Drosophila melanogaster: one gene and its partners. Changing the gene in region 2 together with the main gene of any one other region gives a genetic interaction. Each region holds a gene or a part of one and is shown on either strand. Other genes may lie near its edges.

Evidence for each region.
Region 1: of Apc (region 2) and ninaA, changing one suppresses a phenotype caused by changing the other (phenotypic suppression), as found in Drosophila melanogaster (one study listed by BioGRID).
Region 3: of Apc (region 2) and CG13895, changing one suppresses a phenotype caused by changing the other (phenotypic suppression), as found in Drosophila melanogaster (one study listed by BioGRID).

The regions. Positions count from the first base shown.
Region 1 is NT_033779.5:873,792-880,857, reverse strand, and holds ninaA (neither inactivation nor afterpotential A), read right to left. Parts: upstream 3,557-7,066; 5' UTR 3,497-3,556; coding exon 2,987-3,496; exon of another isoform or gene 2,889-2,986; coding exon 2,685-2,888; 3' UTR 2,588-2,684; downstream 1-2,587. Other genes in the region: CG15824 (uncharacterized protein), read left to right, coding at 1-993, 1,059-2,020, 2,085-2,466, 2,524-2,577; PNUTS (phosphatase 1 nuclear targeting subunit), read right to left, coding at 4,121-5,820.
Region 2 is NT_033777.3:28,839,077-28,847,624, forward strand, and holds the start of Apc (APC-like), read right to left. Parts: upstream 5,673-8,548; 5' UTR 5,484-5,672; intron 3,208-5,483; exon of another isoform or gene 3,143-3,207; intron 1,750-3,142; 5' UTR 1,686-1,749; coding exon 1-1,685. Other genes in the region: spg (sponge), read left to right, coding at 6,891-6,924.
Region 3 is NT_037436.4:702,812-711,300, reverse strand, and holds CG13895 (uncharacterized protein), read left to right. Parts: upstream 1-3,095; 5' UTR 3,096-3,230; intron 3,231-3,297; 5' UTR 3,298-3,399; coding exon 3,400-3,411; intron 3,412-3,601; coding exon 3,602-3,622; intron 3,623-3,678; coding exon 3,679-5,166; 3' UTR 5,167-5,353; downstream 5,354-8,489. Other genes in the region: CG13896 (uncharacterized protein), read left to right, coding at 1-359; CkIIalpha-i3 (CKII-alpha subunit interactor-3), read left to right, coding at 944-991, 1,054-1,563, 1,688-1,744, 1,807-1,968, 2,018-2,089, 2,147-2,221, 2,278-2,310, 2,373-2,591.

The DNA of each region.
Region 1 (7,066 bases), on a different chromosome or scaffold from region 2:
CCAGTACTGTTTAATCCCTGTTCGTTGCCAATCGCTGAGGTCACACTCCAGGTGACCGGTCCATTCAGAATTAAGGAGTTCTACGAAGACACCTACGAAAAAGAGATTAGGATTAGCATGAATGACTTGGAGCGTAAGGAGATCTTTGTGATTCTCAACAGAGGTGGCCTGAAGAACCAATATTGCCGCCAAATCGAAGGAAGGATCATGGTTATGGCGCTGGGAAAGCAGCTCAAATCCCTTCCCCTACGGCTGGCCATAATGGTGCCGGATGTGGTGATCCTGCAACCCGATCTCGTCCTCTTCGATCGCGGCGAGGCCTACGACAGCATCATCAATCTGGTCAACCAAGGCTGTATGCCAGCCGAGTTCAAGTGGAAGAGGCTGGAGACCACCGAGGTGTACATAGGCGACGAGGATGACCCGAATGGCATAGCTGGTGAAATTCTCTCCGAGATTCTGCGGATGCTGGAGTACGACTTCAGCTGCGAGGACCAGCCAAATATGACAAAGAGATACCAGGAGTGTCGCTGCCAGTTTCGTCGATTTGAGGAGGAGGGCGATTTTATTCTGGATCTCCTGGACGACGTCATCAACGATATGGACTTGAGGCACAAGCCATTGCTATTCCCGCCAAAGGATCCCACCGACGACCTGGAGGACAGCGATCAGAGCTCGACAAGTGTGGTGCGGGAAACCATATCGGACATTCTTAATCGCTTGCACATCGATTCCAGCGATCAGTGGTCGGAGCCTTCTTCGGAGTATTGCTTCTCGAGTCGCTTCATCTATTTCTACGAGAAGAGAGGCGTTGTCGATCACATGGATTTGGAGTGCAAGCTCCATCTGCCGCACATCCGGCGGAACCACGAGATGCGGGCCGTCTTTGAGTTGGTCATCCTGGGCGGACGTACTCAGCGATTCACCGTTACACTGGTCAATCTGCCGCAGAAGATAAAGTTCCACAAGGAGAGCATCTACATGGGCATTAAGGTGGGTATACTAACTATTGGAAACCATTAGAAAAGATTATGTCAATACATTTATCTAAATACTAGCCCTGGTACGAGACCTTCGATACCACGCTGCGTGTCAACAACTTGAGCAGGTATCCGCTCCAGTTGGTTGTCGTCGAGGTGAAGGCCCCGGGCAGCAAGGAGCAGGCCCGCGAGAAGCGTCTGGTGGACGGGTACTGCAAGCTGGTGACCAGTGATATTATGCAGCTGGAGCCACTCGGAGCGAATCAGATACGTGTGAAGGGCATTCTCGGTTTCAGCGAGAGCTTCCGCCATTCCTTCGGAGCGATGATCAACAACAGCGACTCCAGCTACTTTCATCTGAGGGGGCAGGGCGTTATGCCCATGCTGGAAATGGCTTCTCCACTGCCTTCTGCGCCTATGGATCCCTTGGAGGTGGAGGAGGAGTACCGGATGCTGCAAAAGATTTATCACTACGAGATATTTCGCTCCATCACGGAGGTCGATGAAGAGCCGAAACGCGCGGATGGCGAGGAGGAGAACCAAGTGGAGGAAAAACCATCCATCACCGAGGATTTCTCTTTGCTCTCCGCCAGCGAGTCCGAAATGTCCTCCGAGCGGAAGGAAGCGCACGATTTTCAACTCTTCCGCATGGTCCACACCTACGTGATGGTGAACAACAACCAGGAGCTGCCCCATGCCACCGTCCTGAGGCAACTGATCCTGGCGGAGCGGTACCTAAAGCGACTCCGCTCAAATCAGGAGTTGTACAAGCTGCACCAGCAGGTCCATCAAACCTACCAAAAGATGCACAATTCACCGGGACTCAAACAGTCGGCTATGGTGAAGCACTTCACCGTCCAACCCATTCCGTGCGAGCAGCACGGTTACGTCCTTGACCTGGGTTCCATGGCCAGGAACTCCGTGCGGCGCTTCCAGCTAAAGCTGCACTTCTTCGGACCCGGCAAACTCATTGCAGCAGCACGCACGGCCGTCAGGATTCCGGGCTTATATGTGGACTTCAATGTCACGGATGCCAAGCAGTAAGTAGTATAATCTGATGCATTTTAATTTATAAGAAACTCAAATAATATCAATATCCCTAAGCTCCGACAAAAAGTTCTCCTTCTGGGCTGAGAAGTGCACGGCACTGGAGTATTTTAAGAAAAAGTACAGGAATATGATGGAGCGACTGATGGACGCGGAGCAGGATCCCAAGGTGAAGCACGCCCACTCCTTTGACCTGGACACTATGGTCCAGCACCAGCGGGATCTGGCGCCCAAGGACCGACGCCTAATCGAGGAATACTACAACAGCCTGAACCGTTCCGTTTATCCAGACCACAAGCACCACTTCACGCTGGCCAAGATCTTCTCAGGCTGCTTGTCCAACTATTCCGGAGTGGACGTGACCATGGTTGGGCTCTTTAAGCCGGAGTCGCGGTTCTACAAGAAGGATCAGCACGTGGAGGACTACCTCTTCATCGATGTAAGTTACACTGACATAAGCTGAGCTAATCCTTAAATGCTAACACGTATCCCACAGTTGCACATGGGACCGACTCTTCCCATCCTACTGAAGGCCGTGCTCGTATCCTAGTGAAGTCCTTAAGATTTGTATGCATTTATTGTGGGTTTCATTCCATTCGGAGTGTATGGGGGCTTCTTAGTCTTATGTGCAGTAATAAAGCTTATACTCCAAAGTCCTCAGCAGTACATGTTGAGCTGGCGGAAGAAGTAGTGGAAAATGAGCAGAACGCAGAAGGAGCTGGTCACGGGCAGACCAGCCGCCTTGATCCATCCGAGGATGTTGAAGTCGTCCGGGTAGAACTCGAACTGCTCCGTGGGTATCTCGCCGCAGTTGGAGATCACCACGGGTTCCACGGGGAAGTCATCCGTATCGGTTTTTACCTGGAACGAAAAATGTGTCAGAAAAAGTTTCTTACATTTCTGTGTGGTGGCTATGCGTTTAAGCCACGATTGTGGTTCCGGTTTGCTTGAATACTCACATCCTCAATGGCATAGATGGTGTCCATTCCCTCCAGCACCTTGCCGAAAACGGTGTGCTTTCCGTCCAGCCACTTGGCGCCCACGGTGGTCACATAAAACTGGCAGCCATTGGTGTCCGGGCCCCGATTGGCCATGCCCAAGTAACCGGGTCTGTTGTGCTCCACCGCCAGAGCCTTATCCTCGTCCGGAAAGTAGTCCCCATAGATGCTAATGGAGCCAGTTCCGTCGCCGTTCACAATGTCGCCGCCTTGGACGAGAAAGCGGTCCACCACGCGATGGAATCGCGAGCCCACGTAGCTGGTCCCGTTGATGCCGCGCAAGCAAATGTGCCGGAAGTTGGCCACCGTCTTGGGAGCCAGCTTCCCGAACAGTCCAAACGTGATCCTGCCCACCGGCTTCTTGTTGTGCTTCACATCCATGTAGATCCGAGACGTGACCGTGAAGCTCAGACCACTGGCCACGGCCAGAAAGGCGCTGCACAGGATTATCCGATTGAGCAATGACTTCATGATTTTACGGACCTAACGCGCTGATGAAATACACGTAACTGAAACGAAGACTGGACTGTGGAAACTATACGAGTAGAAAGTCAATTCTGGGTCGCGGGCCTGGAAACGGAAGCCACAAAAGTTTCAGGTTAAGTGCAAGCACCGCATGATGATGGCATACCCTCTGCAGACATCGATTTCAGCACCCGGCAGCAAACATCTTGTTCGGTTTAATGGCAAACGTAATGTTTGGCTCAACTATGTTAATAACTAAAACTTCAAAAGTATCGTTTCTAAAAGTGCATTCAATTCGTTTCACTAAATAAATCAACTGCATTGGCTTTGCATCATATGACTTGATATTTAATTGTGTAAATTTAAACTTATAAATATTTAACCTTATGGTAATCAGCATAATAATAAAGTTAGCGGGGCAGGGAATTGAACCCAGATCTTAGGCTAAAAACTTAGGGATAGACTGCGTCTACACAAAAATATACCGAATACATATATACACTTAGATTAACTTGCGGCGGCTAACCTGGATACAGTCTTCATGTGGGGACTCGATTTCGGAAATCTTGGCCTCCGTTGCGCGTCTGAGATCTATGCAGCTGAATCTTCCGCAGAAGATTCGGGTAGGTCCTACAAGCGCTTCTTCTGCGGATGCACATACTTGCAGTTCTTGCCCATGTTGCAGTGTCCTCGCATGAACTGCTTGCAGACGCCGGTGTTGCCATTGCCTCCTCCACCTCCTCGATTGGGGCCAGATCCTGCTGAGCGCCAGTTGCCGCCGGAGTTCTCCTGGAAGTTGTTGCCCCCGCTGCGCCAGATGCCGCCGCCGTTGTTTTTGTTCCTGTTGTTGTTGTTGTTGTTATTCCTAGGTCCGCCCATCATCAGTCCTGGCCCCATTCCATTGGGCGGCCCGTTCATCATGGGTCCATTGGGTGGGCCGTTCATCATGGGGCCGTTGGGTCCCATCACTGGACCATTGGGTCCCATTACCGGTCCCGGACCTGGTCCATTCATCATCATGGGCGGGTACTGATTGAATCCAGGTGGTGGGCCGCTTCCGAATGGAGACACTGGACTTCCAAACTGATTGCCCATAAAGTTTTGCGGTGGCATGTTGTTCATGTTCATATTGCTCATATCCATTCCGGGGCCACCGGGTCCGTTCATCATGGGCGGTACACCGGGCGGCCCACCTACCGGACCCATTTGGTTCTGCCAGATTTGCGGCGTTCCGTTGGGCACTTGATTTGGCATCATGTTTGGTCCGGGTGGCATTCCCGTGGGAGCAGGCATGCCTCCCATGAACGGATCGAATGGATTTTGCATTAGGTTCGGTCCAGCTCCCAGTCCGGTCAACATATTGTCATTGAAGCCCATGTCCGATCCGCTGATATTTGCTCCGACTCCCGAGCTAGGCGCGTATTTCTTGGGCTCCGGCCACGCCAAGGCACTGTAGTCGTTGACAGCATCCGGATTCCCCGTCAGGTCATCCATGGGTATCACGGGAATGTCATGAGCAAAATGCGGTTCCAGTTCCGCCTCCGCAGGACTGTCGGGAATCATGTCGGGCGAGAAGTACAGGGCTCTTAGAGTGGTGGCCTCCCTGTCCATCTGCACCTGGCGCTGCTTGGAGAGGTTTCCGTTCGGGTGGTCGGGCACATTATCGACTTCGAGTAGTGGCCGCCACTCCATTTGCGGCTCCATGGTATCGTCGAATCCACGCCGAGCAATGGTCAGCGCGTCCCGCTCGCTGAATCGCTCCATGTTCTTCATTTCCAGGAAGGTCTGCTTCATCACATTTACGCGCTCTGAGCGATCGACCTCGAAGTATCGTATCTGGGTGAGCTTTTCCTCTGACTGCCAGGTTAGCTTCTTTTTCGGGCCCTTGCGGCGGTGCAGCGTGAGCACTCCCGGTGGTCCATCGGGTCCACAGCCAGGTCCAGGCTTCTTGGGCTCCTCGGGAAGATCTTCAGCGTTGTCAGAGGTGTTACCCGCTTCTCCGCCTTCTCCGCCTGCCGCAGCCTTCGCCTTCTGCACCTTTTGCTCGATGTCCTCCTTGACCCTCTTAAGGGGAATGTCGTCGTCATCGGCATCCGTGTCCTTGCCAGGTGACGAGGAGCGCGCATCATCGTTTTCCTTGCTGCTGTCGTCCGACTTCTCCTCGCTCTTCGACTCGTCCAGAGTATCCTGGTAGAACTTAAGCGGCGCCAGTGGCGCGTCCTTGTCCGTGGGCGATGTTGCAGACGTACGCTTGCGCTTCACCACCTTTTTGGGTTCGATGGAGGCGGCCAGGGCGTCCGAGAACAGGTTGGTCTCCACCAGGGTTTGAACTGGAAAAATGAGGGTAAAGTAAGTAATCGCTCCAGTAATTGGTTTAGTTAAGAAAATGTTTAAGTGGCCTTCGTTGAATGGCCCATTGGCTTTGGTGGATTTTGCTTTTGCTGGAAATTGCTAGAAGTAAAAAAGTTATGGAAAGAAACAATCTGATCTGGACACACACATTTGTTGTGTTTATGATTGATTGATTAAGTTTACCCACATTTCGATAATTAATGAAATGGGAGTCTCTCTACTGGAATAAGCACCGAATATATACCAAAACCTAGAACTACTAAACAATTCATGAATTTTCCCCAAAAGTTCTTTAAAAGTTTTGGCTTGCTCGACTTTATTCGGTATAATTTCATATATAAATGTCAAAATGTAATTATTCGACTTTTTTTTATTTAACTAGTTTTTCAACACAAATAGTGTTTAATCATCATAATTAAAATAGTTATAAGCTCTCATTGCGATTGAAACTTGAGAAGTACGCTTATTAAAAGTGTATTGCTAAGACTACTAGTTATACGCAATAGTTAAACCTCTTTAAACTTTGATGCTTTTAGTATATTTATGTCAGCACATCGATAAGTGTCATTGGGTTTCCTCAGCACTAATCTACCCAAGGAACCCGACACTGCGATCAGATTACGCGCACCGTGCAGCTTACTGCCAAGGTGACGCATCCGCTGATGACGCACTACGACGAGGATGTGGGTAAACTAGGGTTGCCTGCTCTAGCGAGGCGAACAATTGTGGAGACCCTCGGTGACGCACGACAGCAAAATCGAGGCCAAAGCAAAGCAGCTGGGACTCAAGCCCACGGTGGTGATCGAACCACCTACCAACTTATAGAACCGCCAGCTTAAGTCAATATTTTCGTTTTCGTTTCTTTTGCGCTCAATGCATTTTTTTATTCAATAGAAAAATCGTATTTTTCTAGAGGAAACCGTATTTTATTTGTAAGTCTTTAAGGTGGGCTGCTCGCCAAGTGAATCTACATACCTTATAGCTAAGCTAAGCTAAATACGTTCAAGATTTGAGGTTTGAATACTTAACATCAGGCAGCGACAACGACGACGACGACGGCGGCGGCGGCATCGTCTGTGCCTCAGATTTCGTTTTCGTTCGGTCTCAGCGCATGCGCAGTGCCCAGATTTCGGGATTCAACTCCATTCAACTTCATCCGCCGTCATCCGGAATTGAGGTCATAGACTCACACTCGGGCAGCTTGCAGTTCAAACTCGATCCGGG
Region 2 (8,548 bases):
TGCAGCAGAATAGCCAGGCAGTTGTGCTGGCGCAGGATCTGCCGATAAGGTTCACAAACAGCAATGTGGCTGGACACGTTCCGCAGGATCCCTCCCGCATTCTCAATGATCTTCAATGTTTTGCTGGGACCTTCGTAACTTAGCATTCCTACTAGGAATGCCAAGGCCCCATCTACGGCACAGAACTCCGCCTTGTTGGTGCTGCAGTGCGCCGAGAGATTCCACAGGGCCGAGAGTATGGCCTTCAGGGTGTTCTCACTCCTATTCCGCATGGCCGCCAGGGCCAGAGCTGTCACTGTTCCAATCTCATTCAGCACTGCCTTCATGTTGCTGTCCGCTCGCCAGGAGAGATTGCGCAGCACGCTGGCCGTCACCTGGAGCAGATCGTCCGGGGCCGAGTCCAATTGGGCCACCAGGGCCTCCATGAACTGCTTTTGACCACACAGCAGCGCCTTGTTGTTCTCATCCCCAAAGGTCAGATTGGTCAGGGCCATCAAAGCGTATCTTCGCAGAGAATTGCAGCACTGATCCTCCGGTTTGGGTCCATGAACGGCGTGATCCAAATGAACCAGATTGGGGATCGCGTGCAATGCCCCCAGCTCGCACATAGCGTGTCGGTGCTCCTCATCGAAGCTCACCTTCATCAGTGAAGAGATGGCGGCCAGCGGATGACGGTCGGAGTCATCTGCAATAGCCTCTCCGCCACTCTGGAGCAGCGTCTTCAGGAAGGAGCAGTAGTCAACGATCTGGTCAAGCAGTCGGAGCACCTTGGCTTCCCTTCTGCCAGCCTTCTCGTCCGGATGGCTGTGCACCACATTGTGCAGCGCCTGTCCAGCACACTTCCTCACCTCCTGGTCGTTGTCCGGTGCATGCATCATCTGCACCAGAAGCGGCATGCAACCAGAGCGTCTAAGAGTTGCACAACTTTGAGCATTTCCGGACAGCTCCAGGAACTTTTTGGCCATTTCGAGAGGATCATTTGAGCCCAACATGGAGAGCAGTGAGTAAACACACTCCACCTTGGATCCCAAGGTGGCTTCCACTGCCGAGGAGGTGTATCGCTCATCGAAGCTGGTCGTCCAGGCAGCTCCCTTGGGCAGCCTTGGAGCAGGGGCAGGTGCATCTCCGTCCAGAAATCGGGAGAGCGTGTAAGATGGTTCCTTGCTGCGCGATGGACGACCTGCGCTGGCTGGAGAGCCGCCTCCATTCCTCGGAGGCAATTCATCCAGCTGCTGCTGCTGCGCCGACTGTCGCTCGAAGTTCCTGTCCAGGCTGCGATGTTCTCTCATCTCCCGCAGCTCCTGGGCCAACATGTAGTCCGGCGGAATGGGGTTCTCGTCCAGAAAATGCTTGGCTGCTGGTTTTTTACCAACGGCTCCGGATCCCAGTCCGACTGCGCTCTGGGTGAAGTGCAGCGTGTTGTCGTCCTGGGTGAACTCCTTCTTGGTATAGCCACTGGCGGCCAGTTCGTAGTCGCTCACTTCGCCATCCCGCTCGTACTTCTTGTCCATCTTTAGCTGCTCCCCGGAACTGGCCCCAAAGCCTTCTTCATAGTCTGGCGGGGGCACTGCGTCGTAGTCGAGGAAGTGCGGCTTACGCTCTGGCACCGAGTCCACATCCACGTCCTCCAGACTGAGCTCGGCGATGCCCTCCTCCAGATCGGGCGTCAGCGTTGGCTCCAACATGGCCTGGCGGGAATCGGGGACTAGGGATTCGGGGTCTCAGTGGTGCAAGTCAATGCTCCATGGCCTGCAAGGAAAGCAGATAGGAAAACACAGTGAGCGAAGGCACAATTGAGACTCTAGATTGCTATAAATTTAGTGCCGGACCAGGGCGTGGGCTAATTATAGACGCACCACCACCACCACCACTCTGCCCGCCAATCTCTGTAGTAATCCGATGGGCAAAACTCAAACAGAGACGAGTCAGCTAGTTGCATGGATGCATATAAGACATATTAGATGTGGGCAGCGCTAAGAAAGGCAACAGTATTAAGTTTAAAAGGTGATTCGATGGAAAATATAGCAAAAATGTAAAAAGGCATAGGCGTGTGTCTCGAAAAAGATGATATTGAATGTATATATTTCTTTTTTCTTAACACTCATTCGAAGCTCAACTTAATTATAGTTTATTTAACTGAGGAAAGTTAAAACAGCAAGTTAAGCATGGGAAAATATTGGCAGTCGTCAGTTTAGTGCCTACACTTAACTCATCATGAGCATATGACTCGCTTTATGATCGATGGAAACTATGTATGTCAGCTTTATGATATGAAAATCCAGCCAAGATAAATGCTATCTTAAGCGGTGAAGTCATTGCGCCAAATTTTAAGGAAATGATCCAAAGCCTCAAGTTTCTTGTAGTTCTTGTTGTTTTATTTTAGAACACCACATAAAATATAAAAGCGAAATATATAAATTCATCTTAATGGGAAACCAATTTAATAGCTTTTCACTTTTTAATTGGCCGACCCCTATCTATCTATAAGGTTGCTCGGTAGGATCGACTTTCTAAGCAGATGCTTGGATGCTGTTGTATCCCAGAAGAATTCGCCTATTGTGGCAGGTTCTGTGCATTGCCTGCTCTATCGCTCTGTAACTTAATCATCGGCCAACATTCAGGTGGCGGCAGCCACAATAGCAAATGAGCAGCTAAGTCATTATCATGATTAGCTGGCGCTGCATCTTTTTAGAAAGTTAGCGGCACACGGCGTCGTCTTTGCGGAATTTCCAGTGCATGAAGAAAGATACAGATGCGTTTTCAGCAGATATATTATATTGCCTCGGCTCTCATTGTTGTTGCTACACACACTCCATAAGCACAAGACATATTTCTCATTTGAGCTACCGTTGAATTATGTGCAAATGCAATTTGGTGCTGCACTTCTTTTTTTTCAGCTGTTATTGTAGCGTAAAATTGAGCGTGGACGGACAGAAGTGCATAAATATGTATGTACACAGAGAGAAAATAACGTAACTAACGTAAGGTCACTATTAAGTTATTTACACAACTTTAATCAAGGGTCAAATAAATCCTTGGGGTTCTTAAATCAATCTACAAAGTGTCTTAAAGTATGGCACAATTTATTTACTGCATAATTTTAGATATCGAATGAAAAGGAATATAACAAATGATTTGATACCTTGTATTTTCAAGCATTTTTTCACTGTGTACCCAATCCAATTCAAGACTTCAAGTGGATTGAGTTTGGGATTGGGAATGACCCGGGTCGTGTACCAGTTCTGGCTCCGCACAAGTCGACTTGTTCAAGCTCCAATTGGCAAATTAATCAAATTTTAATTGCGACCAGCGTAAAGAGCGAAAACAGCCGGCGAACGAAAAGTGGTAACCGCAATTTGAGTGGCTGTGAAATGCAAATCGCTTGTGTAACAGCGGAAATGCATCCATCCATCCAAGCCACTCGATTGGAATGCCGCACTGGACACAGTGGCCATCGTTCATCATTGCCGATCGATTGTTTGCCTAGGCCTCAAATATATAAAATATGTGATCAGCCGGCACTATCACCGCCTTGATAAGGCACACAGTTCGGCTCCACCGATTAACATTTAGCAAGAGTCACGATATCAGTGCTCTCGAGGCCAAGAATTCGAAAGACGAACAGAGCAGAGTAGAGCGATTCGATGAATCAACGATCCGCGAATTAGACAAACACAAGTATCTAGATACGACATAGATACTTTTAGTACCCCAAAGAATGCGAGAATATGCGTCACTTGTCTAGCCAAGAGCCGTGTACCCGGTCCCCCAGAGACGACTCCTCGTGTCATTAACCGGCCAGCGAGTCGCACAAGGGAATCAGCCCTGCACAATGGACACAATTCGACTCCAAGCGTTTCGAGTCAACTGTATTGGGAAACTAAATTGGTTCGCATAGTTAGCGAAAACAGAAACAACCCCACGCTTTGAAATAAAATACAAGTGCCATAGTTTAGCGGATAGAAAGTGAATCAGACTGACAAACTTTTAGTCACCCAGTTTCTATTTCTTTCAGAGATAACGAGATTTCAAAAACAAATGTGACTTATTGCTTGAATAACACTTGCTTAGTAAGACTTACTAAGCACTTACTTAAACTGATAGGTGTAAAAGAATAAATAAAAGTGTTTATTTGATAATTGTATATCCAAATATTTGCATAATTAAATGAATTATGAGAATGAACAATTCCATTTTTGGTAATATGCATATAAATTAAGCATTTGTGTAGCATGGGTGGATCAGATTTGGATTTTGAAAGATAAAGCTTCATCACCTTATAGAGGGTAAGGTCTTAAAAGTTATTTTAAACCGACATATGAATACCTAATTTGGAAAGTGTAATTTGTTGTGATAAAATGAATACTAGGTTGAAATATTTGAAAGAGGGAAATATTTTTTTTGGCAGATTGATGATCTGAAGGGTGGTTTTCGTCACACCCTCCCCTAAAAATGGTACAATTACAATTACAATTAGAAGGGAATAGCAAAAATAAAAAATATTTCTCCAATAAGTGAATTCCCATTAAGCTAATAACCAATTTTGCCACCACATCGCCCCATCCCACCCACTGTGCGGTTTTTTGGCTTGGCACACATTTTGCATACGAAATATTCGCGGCAGAATTATCAAAGAAAAAAGAATGGAAGATTTGCGGGGGAAGGAAAAGCGGTAAAGATGATGACACCGCGAGCCATCAAACCACAGGGAAATGTACGCAAAAACATTAAATAATGAAACTACATACTAACTACTGTACATATGTACATATGTATGTACTTATGATTTCTGTGTGTGCATTTATGAGCTGGTTTAATGAACGCCACTTTTGTTTTGCTGCCCGGTTGTTTTGTGTCTTTGCCGCCGCGAGATGATGATTATGTAAATTGTAGAAAAGTAAAAGGGAAACTAAATACGAGCGCATGCAGTGTGGAATTGTGTTTTCCTTTTCTCCCATGTTTGTGGGCATGTAAGACAATCGAGCGTGCCGATATTAACGTATTTTCCTTAATGCGGTGATTAATTATGCTGAGGTGAAGTTGAATGGAAGTGCTCGAAAATAGTTATCAATTAGGCGTGCCACAATCACTTGCAGCTGTTGGAAAACTAAAACGAAAACAACAACAACGAAACAAACGAAACACACTGCGTTTTCCAACTGATAAAGGAGCACTCACACACATAGACACACACATGCACGCACTTTGCACACCCACACTAGGGCGCAGTCGCGTTCTGATTGGGACCTTTATTGATTTTTCCTGTAAAAGGAATCGGCAGGAGAACAGGAAACTACTAAAGAGTATCTCATGCTCCAAGTTGAGCTAAACACATTTGTATTCGCCAGCTGTATATGGTGCGCATTTATTGAGTAAACATTCTGCGTTTTATTGTCAGGCCCAAAAAGAACAATTCCAATTGGAAGAGTCAGCGACTATACTCCCACACACACACGAACCCAGAGATTCTCCGATTGGCGTACCTTGACTAAAAACACAATTTCTCGGCAGCTTCCTCGCCCACCAGATGACACATTTCCCGCTTTATCACTTGTTTGCCCACAGATATTGCCACTATTTGGATTCTTGGCTTGTTTCGCGACAAAACAAATACGCAGCGCGGCCGAAATTCCGAGTCCGCTTATCAACAAAAATTGCGACCAACCGCGGCGAGCAGTGTGACTGTTATATCGAGAATTCGAAAAACCAACAAGAAATAGCTGCTAGGGATGGGAGAATGTAGCGATATCTTGGGATCATATATATCGCTTGAATATTTACTTCGTTCGTAATATATTTATACTGCAATTTATTTTCTAACCTTAAAGATTTAGTGCTTATATTTTATTCATTATATATCTCGGTTAAGTAATACGTACACCGTTAATTTAAAAGAAAAAATTTAAAAAAAAATGGGATAGAGTTAATGGGGCCGAGTCAGACCAACGCTATGGACTGCATATTAAAACGGATTTGGTATTGTTTTGTTTGTTAAATTATTGAATACATTGAATGAATGTGCCTCCAAAACTGTAACTGCGAATTGGTTCGGGTCTTAGCTAGACCATAAATACCGGTGTGACCGTCACCGCTAAAATGAAAATTCCCTCAAAAATGCAATAGTAAATAATCCATCGCTTAGCAACTGGCCACACTGCAACGTATATAAGCCGACGAATCCCGAATTTTGTTGTTGTTCTTCAAACAGCTGAGCGGCGGACGGATATTTGTTGTTGCTGCGCCCGGGAAGCTGCGCAGCGGAGAACGCGAAAAATAATAAAACGCAAAAAATAGCGAAAATTAAACGCGTTGCAAGTGCAGCAGAAAACAACGGTAATAATTCGCGAAGCCAAGGGACAAGCAATTTAAATTGCGCACAGTGTAGAAATCCAATTGGAAGTTCGGCTGGGAGTCCCAAATTCGTATTGATTTTCTTGTTTGTGTGTGCGCGGGTCCGTGAAAAAGGCAACAAAAGCAAAGCCACCACTTCCAGACTTCCCAATCAGCCACTTCCTTTTCTTCCACCTAGCGGTAATCATTGCCAATTGGAACCGCGATCGTTGCCTTCCAGCGACAACAACAATGTAGCAAGTGTATTTTCTGCTTGTAGTTGTAGTTATTAAACAAGATAAAGTGCGAGAAAGAGAAGGAGATAGACAACAACAAAAGCGAAAGTTTTATTGAGTGCGTAGATGTGTACGAGTGTGTATGTGTGCTATTGCGAAAAATTGTTGATAAATATTGGCCGTTATAAATGCGAATTCAAATGCAGATATTTGCCGATGAAAAGGGTGTTTCCTCAAAAAACCGTTGATTAATTATAAATGCAAGGAGTGGCCGGCTAAGTTGGATTTTTTCGGCTTAACTTGCAGCGAAGCAGCAGCGACAAAATGTGGATACCTTCGAACAACAAATACGGAGTTGGTGAGTAAATAATAAGAGTAGGCGGTGTGCCACCCACTTTTCCAAGCTACCCACCACCCCCCGCTGGGCGTCACGTGCGCGGCCTTTGTTTTTATTGCTGCCTTTTGCGGCGATTCACGCGTTTTTCCGCGAAACGCCGGATACCATGCCAACCACCCCCGCACGTTACCGAGCGGGGAGGAAAAGCGACTTTTCTACTTATTTTTGTACACAAACTGTTTGTAGCATCATCATCCCCCAGTTCACCGCACCGCCCCCCCCCCCTTTCCATGCAGCGTGTAGTGTATCTCAAAGAGATTTCCCTGTTTGTTGTTGCTGCCGCTGCGCTGCGATTTGATGTGTTTATACACACAGTTTTCCGCGCGCTCAGTTTTCCCGCACAGCGCTCGGCTGTCGCGTTGCCAATTTCCCCCCAGCCCAGGTGTTGCCAATTTAAATGCTTTCGTAATTACGAACACCTAAAAAAATGTTTATTTCGCAGACAAAATATATATTTGTCCAAGTTCATATGGTTGATTTTGATTTGAAACGTTTCTCTGATTCTGATCTGAAAATAACTACATCTTAATTATATTTCCTAGTATGCTAATATAAAACCTACTCGGTAGATAGAATATAGAAATGGGAAAGAAAAACGCTTCAGTGCACATGGTAAAAACTATTTAAGATCTCAAGAATCGAAACTTGCTTGCTATGGACTTTATTTTTCTCGTTACACATTTTACTTGGAATATGTTGCTGGTTTCTCTTGATATATATATTATATCTATAATATTATATCTATTATCAAGCTTTAAGCAGAATAAATAAACAGCAAATATATTTTTGCCTGCACCACAGTCTACATTTAAACGGTTACCACTGTGTAACCGGCGTGGAAAATCAAGTTGCGTGTTGTGATAACACACATGCGAATAATACAAGTGAATCTTGGATATTCTTTGGGCAGCACAATGTGCTGGTCTTGGTTTCTCCTCGACTGGGATGCTCCATTATCTTCGCATTCGTCGCACTTCTCGCTTCAATGGCAGCGCTTAACAAATTACTGCGGGGACAGGGCAGGGAAGTAGTCAACAAAATAAAATAAGACAAAATAAAACAAAATAAAATAAAAGAGCCAGCGAACGACAACGGATGATTTGCTGCGGACGATGTACTACGTACAGCATCTTCAGTGGCAGACTCTGTGCCAAGTTTTATTCATTGTGCCGCTTCAATGGGTTTTCTTCGCCCAGATAAGCACCAATATTCATTGTTTATGGGATGCTCTACCCAAGGGAATATGTCCTACGATGTAATGCCTAAAATGTTTCCATAAAATTAATAAATATTGCTTGATCAGTTTGGCATTCTATATTGCTTCTATCTTGGTGGTAAAGGGTATGCAGTCTTCGTCAGTACCATCCAAGTACTCTTCATTACAGCTCCGTTTTTGTGCTCCAGTCGCTCCAGTTCGCCATCAATCGTGGCGACAGCTATTGGCTGCTGTGCGCTGACATTTGCTCCACATTCAACCCGGCAGAGATTGACATGAGAGCGGTCAGAGTTTACACAAATCAATCAGTCAGTCAGTCATCGGGCAATCCAGCGATCCAGGCTGGTTTAGCATCATTAGCGATACGAG
Region 3 (8,489 bases), on a different chromosome or scaffold from region 2:
TGGGCACCACTGTCAGCACAGTTATTCCCCGCCAAATGCGTACGTATCGCAAACGAAAGCAGCCATTGGATGATGTCGATATCAAGATCCAGAAGGACTACGAAGTGCAAACGGATCGGCAGCGGGATGGGGAACAGTTTACAGTCTTTAATGCCGCCGAACCCAATACTAATGATTTGTCAGAGTCTGCGGCCGAGATCTCCATCAGCAACGACGAAGAGGCATTGAGACACCTAAGAGCGCTCCAGGAGTACGCCATGATCCATGATAATTTCAGGGCCATAGGACTGCTAATACAGGTGGAGCACGCCATTCAATATCCAGCCCAGATCAAGGACTTCGAGGTGGATCAAACGTAGTGTCCTTATAAACAAGCACGTAATCTACTGGAAAAGCAAAGATAAGATAAGGCACATACCTAATTTATACCTCTATATTTAAGATTTTAATATTTTATAATATATATACTTTAATTTACTTTATTTAAATATGGTTCATGCACTTGCTAACACCACTGAAAAATGAATCTGGTTCTAAACAAATCTGGCTTGGGTATTGGCTAAAATATTGCGCTGTGGCAATACCGTTTTCTAAAACCTATAGTTACAACAATCTAAAGGAATTTCACAAGAAAAACCAACATTTCTGAAATCTTATTAGTATTTTGAAGAGTAACAAAGTGAATCCTGCCGAGATCAACGCCGATCTGTAAGCAAGTTCGTCTTGGAAATTGACAAAAACCGAAAAATCTGGCAGCACCAATATGACACTAAAGGTTCAAGAAAAGACCTTCGGTTGCACAAAATAGAAAATTCAAACATAATTGAAAAGAATTAACTAGTATCGTGAAAACATGTAATACAGTTAATAAAAAGTTATAGTATTATGCAATATTGATCAAATGAAGCAAACTTTATCGATAACTTCGAAATTGCAACCCTAAATGCATCGGATGGGCAATACCAATCTGAAGTCTACAAAAAAGCATATTGTGGAAGTCTAAGTTTTGTTAAATTTATGGAAAAGGAATCCAATTTATCGGACAACTTGCAGTCCCGGTTATTTGCACTGGGTCCTGCCCCGCCAGGATTTCGTCCACCGGATGCTACCGCCTTTGCCACAGCGGAGTCAAATCTTCGTAATGCCATCCGCTACCTTAATGATACCTATGGCGAGCTCGATCAGCTGCGCACTGTCATCCAGAAGGAGAAGAATAACTCGAAGCGTACGTCCTACAAGGCGCAGTCCATGATGCTTGCCATGCAAGTGATACGTTTCAAAGGACTTATTGGGAAGTACAGGGACATTCTGATTGGCCTGCAGGATGCCGAAATCATCAAGGTCAAACAATACATAGAGCAAATGGTGGAGATGAGGAACAAAATCCAGGCAAAGACCGATCCCACACAGCGCGAGTTCCAAGTGGGCAGCTCAATCTCACTGGTGCAGGAACAGCGCAAGACCAAGAGAATCTGCCGCAGGTGGCGGGATCGCCTGGTCCAGCTGACGGAGGCCAAGATGGACAAAACTGAGCAACTTACTGAGAAACCAAAGCTGATCAATGTAAGAACCGTTACAAAAGAACTTATACATATTTTCATTGCGCTTCCAATATCCATCCATGTTTTCATGAAAACTCTCATCGAATTCTGATCGAATTTCGACTGAACTCGATATGCTTTTTTAGAAACCTAGAAATATGTTAAATGCAAAAACCAACAAGTGGAAGGAAGCTGTAAGCTTGGTGAGTATAGCCAAACATATAAAGGATAAGTTAAATGCTAGTAAATATAAAACTAATCCTAGCAACAAAGCGGTCTAATTAAAAGTGGCTGTAAGAGGTGTGAATACCTAAGAAAGCTGACTAAGAATCGTCCATCCAAACTTTGTAAGGTGTGTAAAAAATGGTCTGATGATGAAAAAGCAAAAGCGGCAGGAAATAAGAAAGCCAACAAAACGCCAATAATGGTATGACACTATTGAAAAGTCGCAACATAAATTAATACTATTATTGCAGGCGAAGTCGAAAAAATTAGAAGTACGCGTGCGTACGGATTCTGAAGAAGCTATAATTAAAATAGAGATAGAGGTGGGTGTGTACAAGTAGATCAACAGTAACATTAGCACTTATTATTAATTTTCTTAGCATGGTGAATTTACCGATGAAGAGGAAATTGGGTCATTGGAAAAGGAAACGACCTTAAAAGATGAGATCAAGGAGGTTAGTTGTTTCTTCAACCTGAAAAATGTGTTTAATTTTGGAATGTTTTTTTTTAGACTGTTGAATCTCACGACACGGCAGCAGTTGAGGTAAGTAAACAGGTCCTTGGACTGTAATAGAACTAACGTAACGATAAATGACTCAATGACAGGAGGAAAATGAGACCAGTCAAGACGATGTGGACCCCAAAGTAGTCGCTTCCTTACAAAATTCACTGAAATCCATCGACTGTAAAAATATGGCCTTGGCCTACGTGAAGGTCTTACAGGAGTACGCCATGTTAAATGATAACTATCGGGCCATTGGACTACTTACTGAAGTTGAAAAATCAGTTTTAAATCCGCCTCAGAACGAGGATTTCGATCTATGATCTTATTGACGCCACAAAAATAAAGTTTAGTTTTTATATGTAATCTACAATTAAAATGTTCGTGTGTCCTGCCTTTGAGAGTCAAGACCCAAAATGTGTAAATAATTGTAATATGCGAAAAGAGTTTATAGAGTGGAATAACCAACAGGGTCCCACTTAAATGTGGTAAACGTTAAATTAAGCACTAGATATAATTTGAGCAAAAATAGCTTTATATATATGTATGTGTACATATCAAACCAGTTTCAGCTCAGATTAGGTGGTAATGCGATTTGTGTTTTTCGGCATGTTAAACCAGTTATAGCTGCTTTAGCGAGAGAATATTTACTCTCGATCCGAAAATAAATCCCATACCGCGAACGAATACCACCACGATCGGAATCGGAACGTGGGAAGTCGGTTTAGATCGCGAGAGAAAGAGCGGAATGTCTCTCGCAAAGATACGGTTTTTGCCGCTCCGCCAAACGGAGGAGAGTCCAGATCTCTGCAATGTTCGGACCGCATGCTCAGTCATTGAGTTGCACTCGCTCTGGCAACTTTAAACACGTGCGACCGCACATATTTTCTGTTTAATGTGCCTAAAAAACTGCTGTATATTTTCAACAAAGTGTACTTTATGCTCTAAGCTTTCCGACTGAGGTATGTAAACAAGATTTCTAGCTCTTCTCTGTATAATAACTATTTCGTTTTAATTTCATTGTTAAAGGAACAGAATTATATTGGTCACGTGAGGAGGGGGGGCCAGACTGGGAGTGCGAGCACGCTAAGAGAGAGTGGAGAACCTGAAAGTGTGAGAGCGGGAGTGGAAATGTACTCTGACGTAAGTATACTTTCGTAGTGAGTAAGTGAGAGTGCAATGCTTCGTTTTAGTAAAATCTTTTGAAATTTGTTATCTCTGAGCTAAAATATGCGAGACCCATTTGCGAATAAGAAGAGGGCATGTTTTGTAAATATACATACATAAATATGTATAAGGCATTCATGATATACACGCATACAGATAATTTGAGTTCTGTATCAATAACATACATGTAACTAAGCCTAGAAATCGGATTTTATAAAGAAATAAACCATGATTCAATTTCAGAATGATGACACCCACAAAAACTCGAATGGATCGCATCGCATACGGAACGTGCTGACTTTGGAGGAGCGTGTGGCTGCCATCCGACAGTACGACATTGTGCCCATGTACAGTAAGATTGCGAGGAACTTTAATTGCAGCTGGGAGCAAATCAAGAGCATAGTCTCCAATCGGGAAGCCATCCTGGAGTTCCACAAGGCCACCAATCGGCTCAGCCAGCCGGCCAATAAGGATGCCGAGCTGCGCCGGCGCAAGCTGAACTTTCTGGGCCACTGCCTGTACGAGTACATCCAGAGGGCCCAGTTTTACCTCCACAGCGATGTGAACGAGGAGATGATCCGCAACCGTGCGATCGAGTTCCGGGATCTCATGCAACTCGATGGTTTTGTGCCGAACAAACCGTGGATCAATCACTTCAAGGCCGCCTATAATATAACACTGTCGAATCGTCAGATCACGATAGTCCGCCGACCACCACGATCTATGGACTTGAGGGACATTATGTCGTACTGTGGACGACACACCTCGATGTCTTGTAGCTTAGCGCCTAGATCGCCGGAACCTGCGCTCACTAGCAGTGATCGACCTCTTTATCGTACAAAGACATTGGTCACCACCTCTAGCCAAAATCAAGCCACCTCGGATGAAGTGCACCTGCGTAGAAAGCGAAAGTTAGCGTTCCTGGAGAAATGCGTTTATGAGTACATCCAGCGATCACAGTTGGTTCGCCAGGGTCGTCTTGACCTAGACAATTTGCGCTTTGTGGCCATTAGTTTAAGGGACATCCTCAAAATCGACTCCTTCTTTCCCGACAAAGTGTGGTTGAAGCACTTTAAGAGTCGCTATAACTTTAATTTCACGGTGGGAGTTCAGGTGACGAACCGCCGCTTGCCGCTTTCCCTGGACCTAAGAGATATAGTTAGTTATTGCGGCCGGAATGAACATAAGATCACGCTGGACCACAAGAAGTCGCAGGAAGAACTGAGCCAGAGCGACAAGCCAGAGGTGGACCAATGCCCACAGGTGGAACCAAAACCCGAAGAATTTGAGCACGAAGAAGACGATGATTGCGTGGCCATTGAAGTGCCACCTGAGCTCATAGAAATAAAGGATGATGAGGATAATGACGATGAGCATAATGATAATGAGGATTTGCCAGAAAGGGCTACTAAACGAAAATCAGACGAGAACGGCGGCCCAATACCATGTGGCTTGAAGATTCAGAAGATTCAATCGCTCAATGAGTCATTGCCTGAGGATACGGAACTACTTCCAGCCAATAGTCCCGGTCATTATTCAGAGACCAGCGATGAGGCACATCTGCCGCGCTGCGTAGAAAGCTACAAGGACGCACTGCGTCTACTGAAGCCCCTGGAGGAATTCGTCCTAATGGAGGAGAACTATCGAGCCATTGGCCTGCTCACGCAGCTGGAGAAGATCTTTGAGTCCGCTGCGAAAAAGAGTGAGGAAATGGACAAATCCTTAGAATAAGTACCAAACCAAAAACATGTGCCTTAGGTTATAAGTATGTTTAGATCTTTGAGTACCCTCTGCAGGGTATAAGATAGGCTTTATGAAAACTGCGTTATTTCACTGAAAATGTGTATTTAATTTAAAACAAACAAGCAAGCGTAAACTAACTATTTGTAAATCAAATACAAGCTTCAAACACGCATATAAAATGAATATAAATATTATGTAATTGTTCTTGAATAACATGTTTCAAAACGAATACGTTTACCCACCGTTCACTTGAATAGTAACAAAGATTGACATTGTCAAGGTGATGCACCCATATATCTGTTCTCATGGCACGGCTATCTGGGTCTTTGACCAGGTTTCCAAGCTATAAGGCAACTTTCCACTCGCCCCAGCGAGACTAACAATCAGCGCTAAAACTTTACGTTCGTCCTCTAAAACTTTACGCGATGGTGGGATGTGGGATGAGACTGAACGAGTCCGAATGACCTGCAACGAAGTTGAAGTTGAACGTGCGTGGAACAGAAGCTCCGGAAGTGGGCAGATGGAGAGGGCGCACCGTAGGTGCTACATCAATTCTAGATGGGAGTACAGCCGGAGGTGGGCTGCGGAGGGCGAAGTCCGAAGGGCTGAGGATATATGGGGGAAGAGGATGCCAGCAGCGCAGCATCCCGGTGAGGGACCTTGCGGTGCCAGAAGGTGGACACTCACAATCACACTCGCACCTACAGATTGCAGAGCATATATGTAAGTGCACTGAAAGAAACGTAATCGCTTGTTGGTTTTGTTATATAGTATTTAAGATAAATATATATACCTGTTAGCTACATTATAAGTTATGAAGTTGCTAAGTCAAGACATATCGGAAATATGTAGAAAGTGTATTAAACTTTTGTCGCAGTGTCGATTGAGGGCGCTACGATTACACAACCGGGTCTATGGAGCGTTGGATACGCCACATCGCCATTGCTACATCGCCATCCGTTCCGGTTGCGGCAAAGTTTCGCCATACGATGGCAACCCTCCTGGGCAGCAGAAGCTGAGCAGGAGCTTCAGGACTTTCGTTTCAAGGATTTCCGACCGACGTCGTCAGACTCGACTGACGGCGACGGCTTGAATATAGCACTCTTACAGGCGAAATACCTACGAGTGTAGGGTAAGGTGCTCGGGGGCTGCCCGATAAAGGTACAACGCGAAGAAGAAGCAACATCAATGCAAACACAACAACTTTGGCTCAGGTTACTGCCACACGGCTGCGCCCCAAAACAAAATTGAAACCCCAGCGCGTTAAGAGCTCTGACATAAAACCCTGAAAGCGGAATTGCCGTTGAGGGATATACGACGAGCAAGAGGACAGACTATATATACCACTTTCAGCTCTTCAGCTCCCTCAACCTCATTCTCATCCTCATCCTCGTCGTCGTCATCGTCCTCTTGTGCCGCTTCTTCTTTTTCCCTCGAGTAGCTGGGGTTCGGCATATAGTACATATGCCAATCGCAGGACTGAGAGGATGTAAGGCCGAAGGGCATGTAAAATGTCCAATTGGGTACAGTTGACGTGGGTTTCGCCGGACAGGCAGGGGCTTATGATGTTGCACAACTGTTTGTGATCGGTGGATGAACAAAAATTTAAAGGAAGGAACTCGGGAAAGGAATGAACCATCAAGAGTGTCATGATCCAAATTATACCTATACCGAGGGTACTATAAATACATATATTAACTTCATCTCATAATTTGTTGTATGAAACTCGAGGCTTATAAAACTCGAAGCTTACCACCATTTCAATTGGAAGTTGCATAAATTTGAGTGCGCTTTTATTCCTTCGTCTTTATAAGAAAATTCCTTCGTCTTTATAAGAAAATCGTAATACGTAGCATTTTATTAGGATTATAAATGTTAGAGCTCGGGGGCCTATTCTATTTATGGCGTTTATATAGCGCTTCTGGTGTAACTTTTTTTATTGTGTCGGAATCATCGAGTCCCACTGGTTCCAAGCGCTTTTCTCGCCCACAAGGGTGGCTCATTGGGATTGGCGTGTCTAACTGCCATGCAGTGCTCCCCAAACTTTATGAAGGTAATTTTATCTTTTATATGTATATAGAAAACTTTTCATTGTCAAAACCAGGACAGCTGGGGGATATGGTTCTTTTGTTAATTTTAAAACGTTGAATACTACCCTTTATTTCTAAACAAGGGACTCTTTTTTCGATATTTAATGTTTCATTAGAAATGTGATTAAATTAATTCGGTGATTTACCTTTACTGGATTTTTATATGTCACCTAACTCGATGAGTAATAATTTAAAGATCGTTCGATATGCCGGGGAAATTGTTATGTGAAAAGAAAAAAAAGCCAATTACCTGGCTCATCATCATAGCCCCGATATCCATTAGCATCCTGTAAATGCATGCCATTTCATTTATTTACTTTGGCTGGCGGTTAGTTGCGTATATAGTATTGATTCTTTCATCATACCAGACTCACCCAATCGACCCCTTTAATCGGCAAACATACAAACGATGCCATAATCGTTTCCATTGTACGCCAAATACGTACAATGGCTCGCCAAAACTGTAGACCCCGGCTGAAGAGCGACTCTACGAATACCCGTTCATCTAGAGTGCAGATATATGTAGCTATATATATATATATATTTGTTTCGAACGGAAAACGTGAGAACTGACTGTATCTGATGGCGATGGCGATGGCAATGGTGGCGAAACAAGTCTGGTGCTCTAGTCTCTGGTTTTGCTACTCAGCTTTATACCCCGTACTTCTTATTTGGGTTGTCGGTGCGGCATAAGCCTCTTGGGCTTTGGAGGCTGCTGCAGACGATGACGACGATGAGGATGAGGATGATGATGATGATGGCCCTTGAGCCGAGACTCTGGAGGTTCTGATGATAATGACGATGGGCCCTCAGCTTTCTGTCATGCGCCGCTTCAACATGGCGAGTTCGTTTCTTATTCTCGCACATCGTCTTTCCTCGCCTCCTTGCCACACAACCCTCGATAGATGGTTATCTATCTGTATTGTGCAGGAGATGACGAGCGGATTCGAACTAGGGTACCAAAGAGGCTATCCTTTCTGACGCCCATTCCCTGCGAACATCCGAAAATATCCTTCAGGCTGACGGTTCCGACAACGACATGTATTGGATTTCATTTGGGTTAGCTTTTGGGTTGAACAAATCGATTTGCCATTTTTTTTTATTATTTTTTTAAGTGAATTGTTCAGTTTTTGCGCATGTTTGCATTGCAAGAGATGACAGGCCCGAGGGGTTACCTCCGGTCTGTCTGGTGACTAATTCTACTACTACTACTACTGTGTA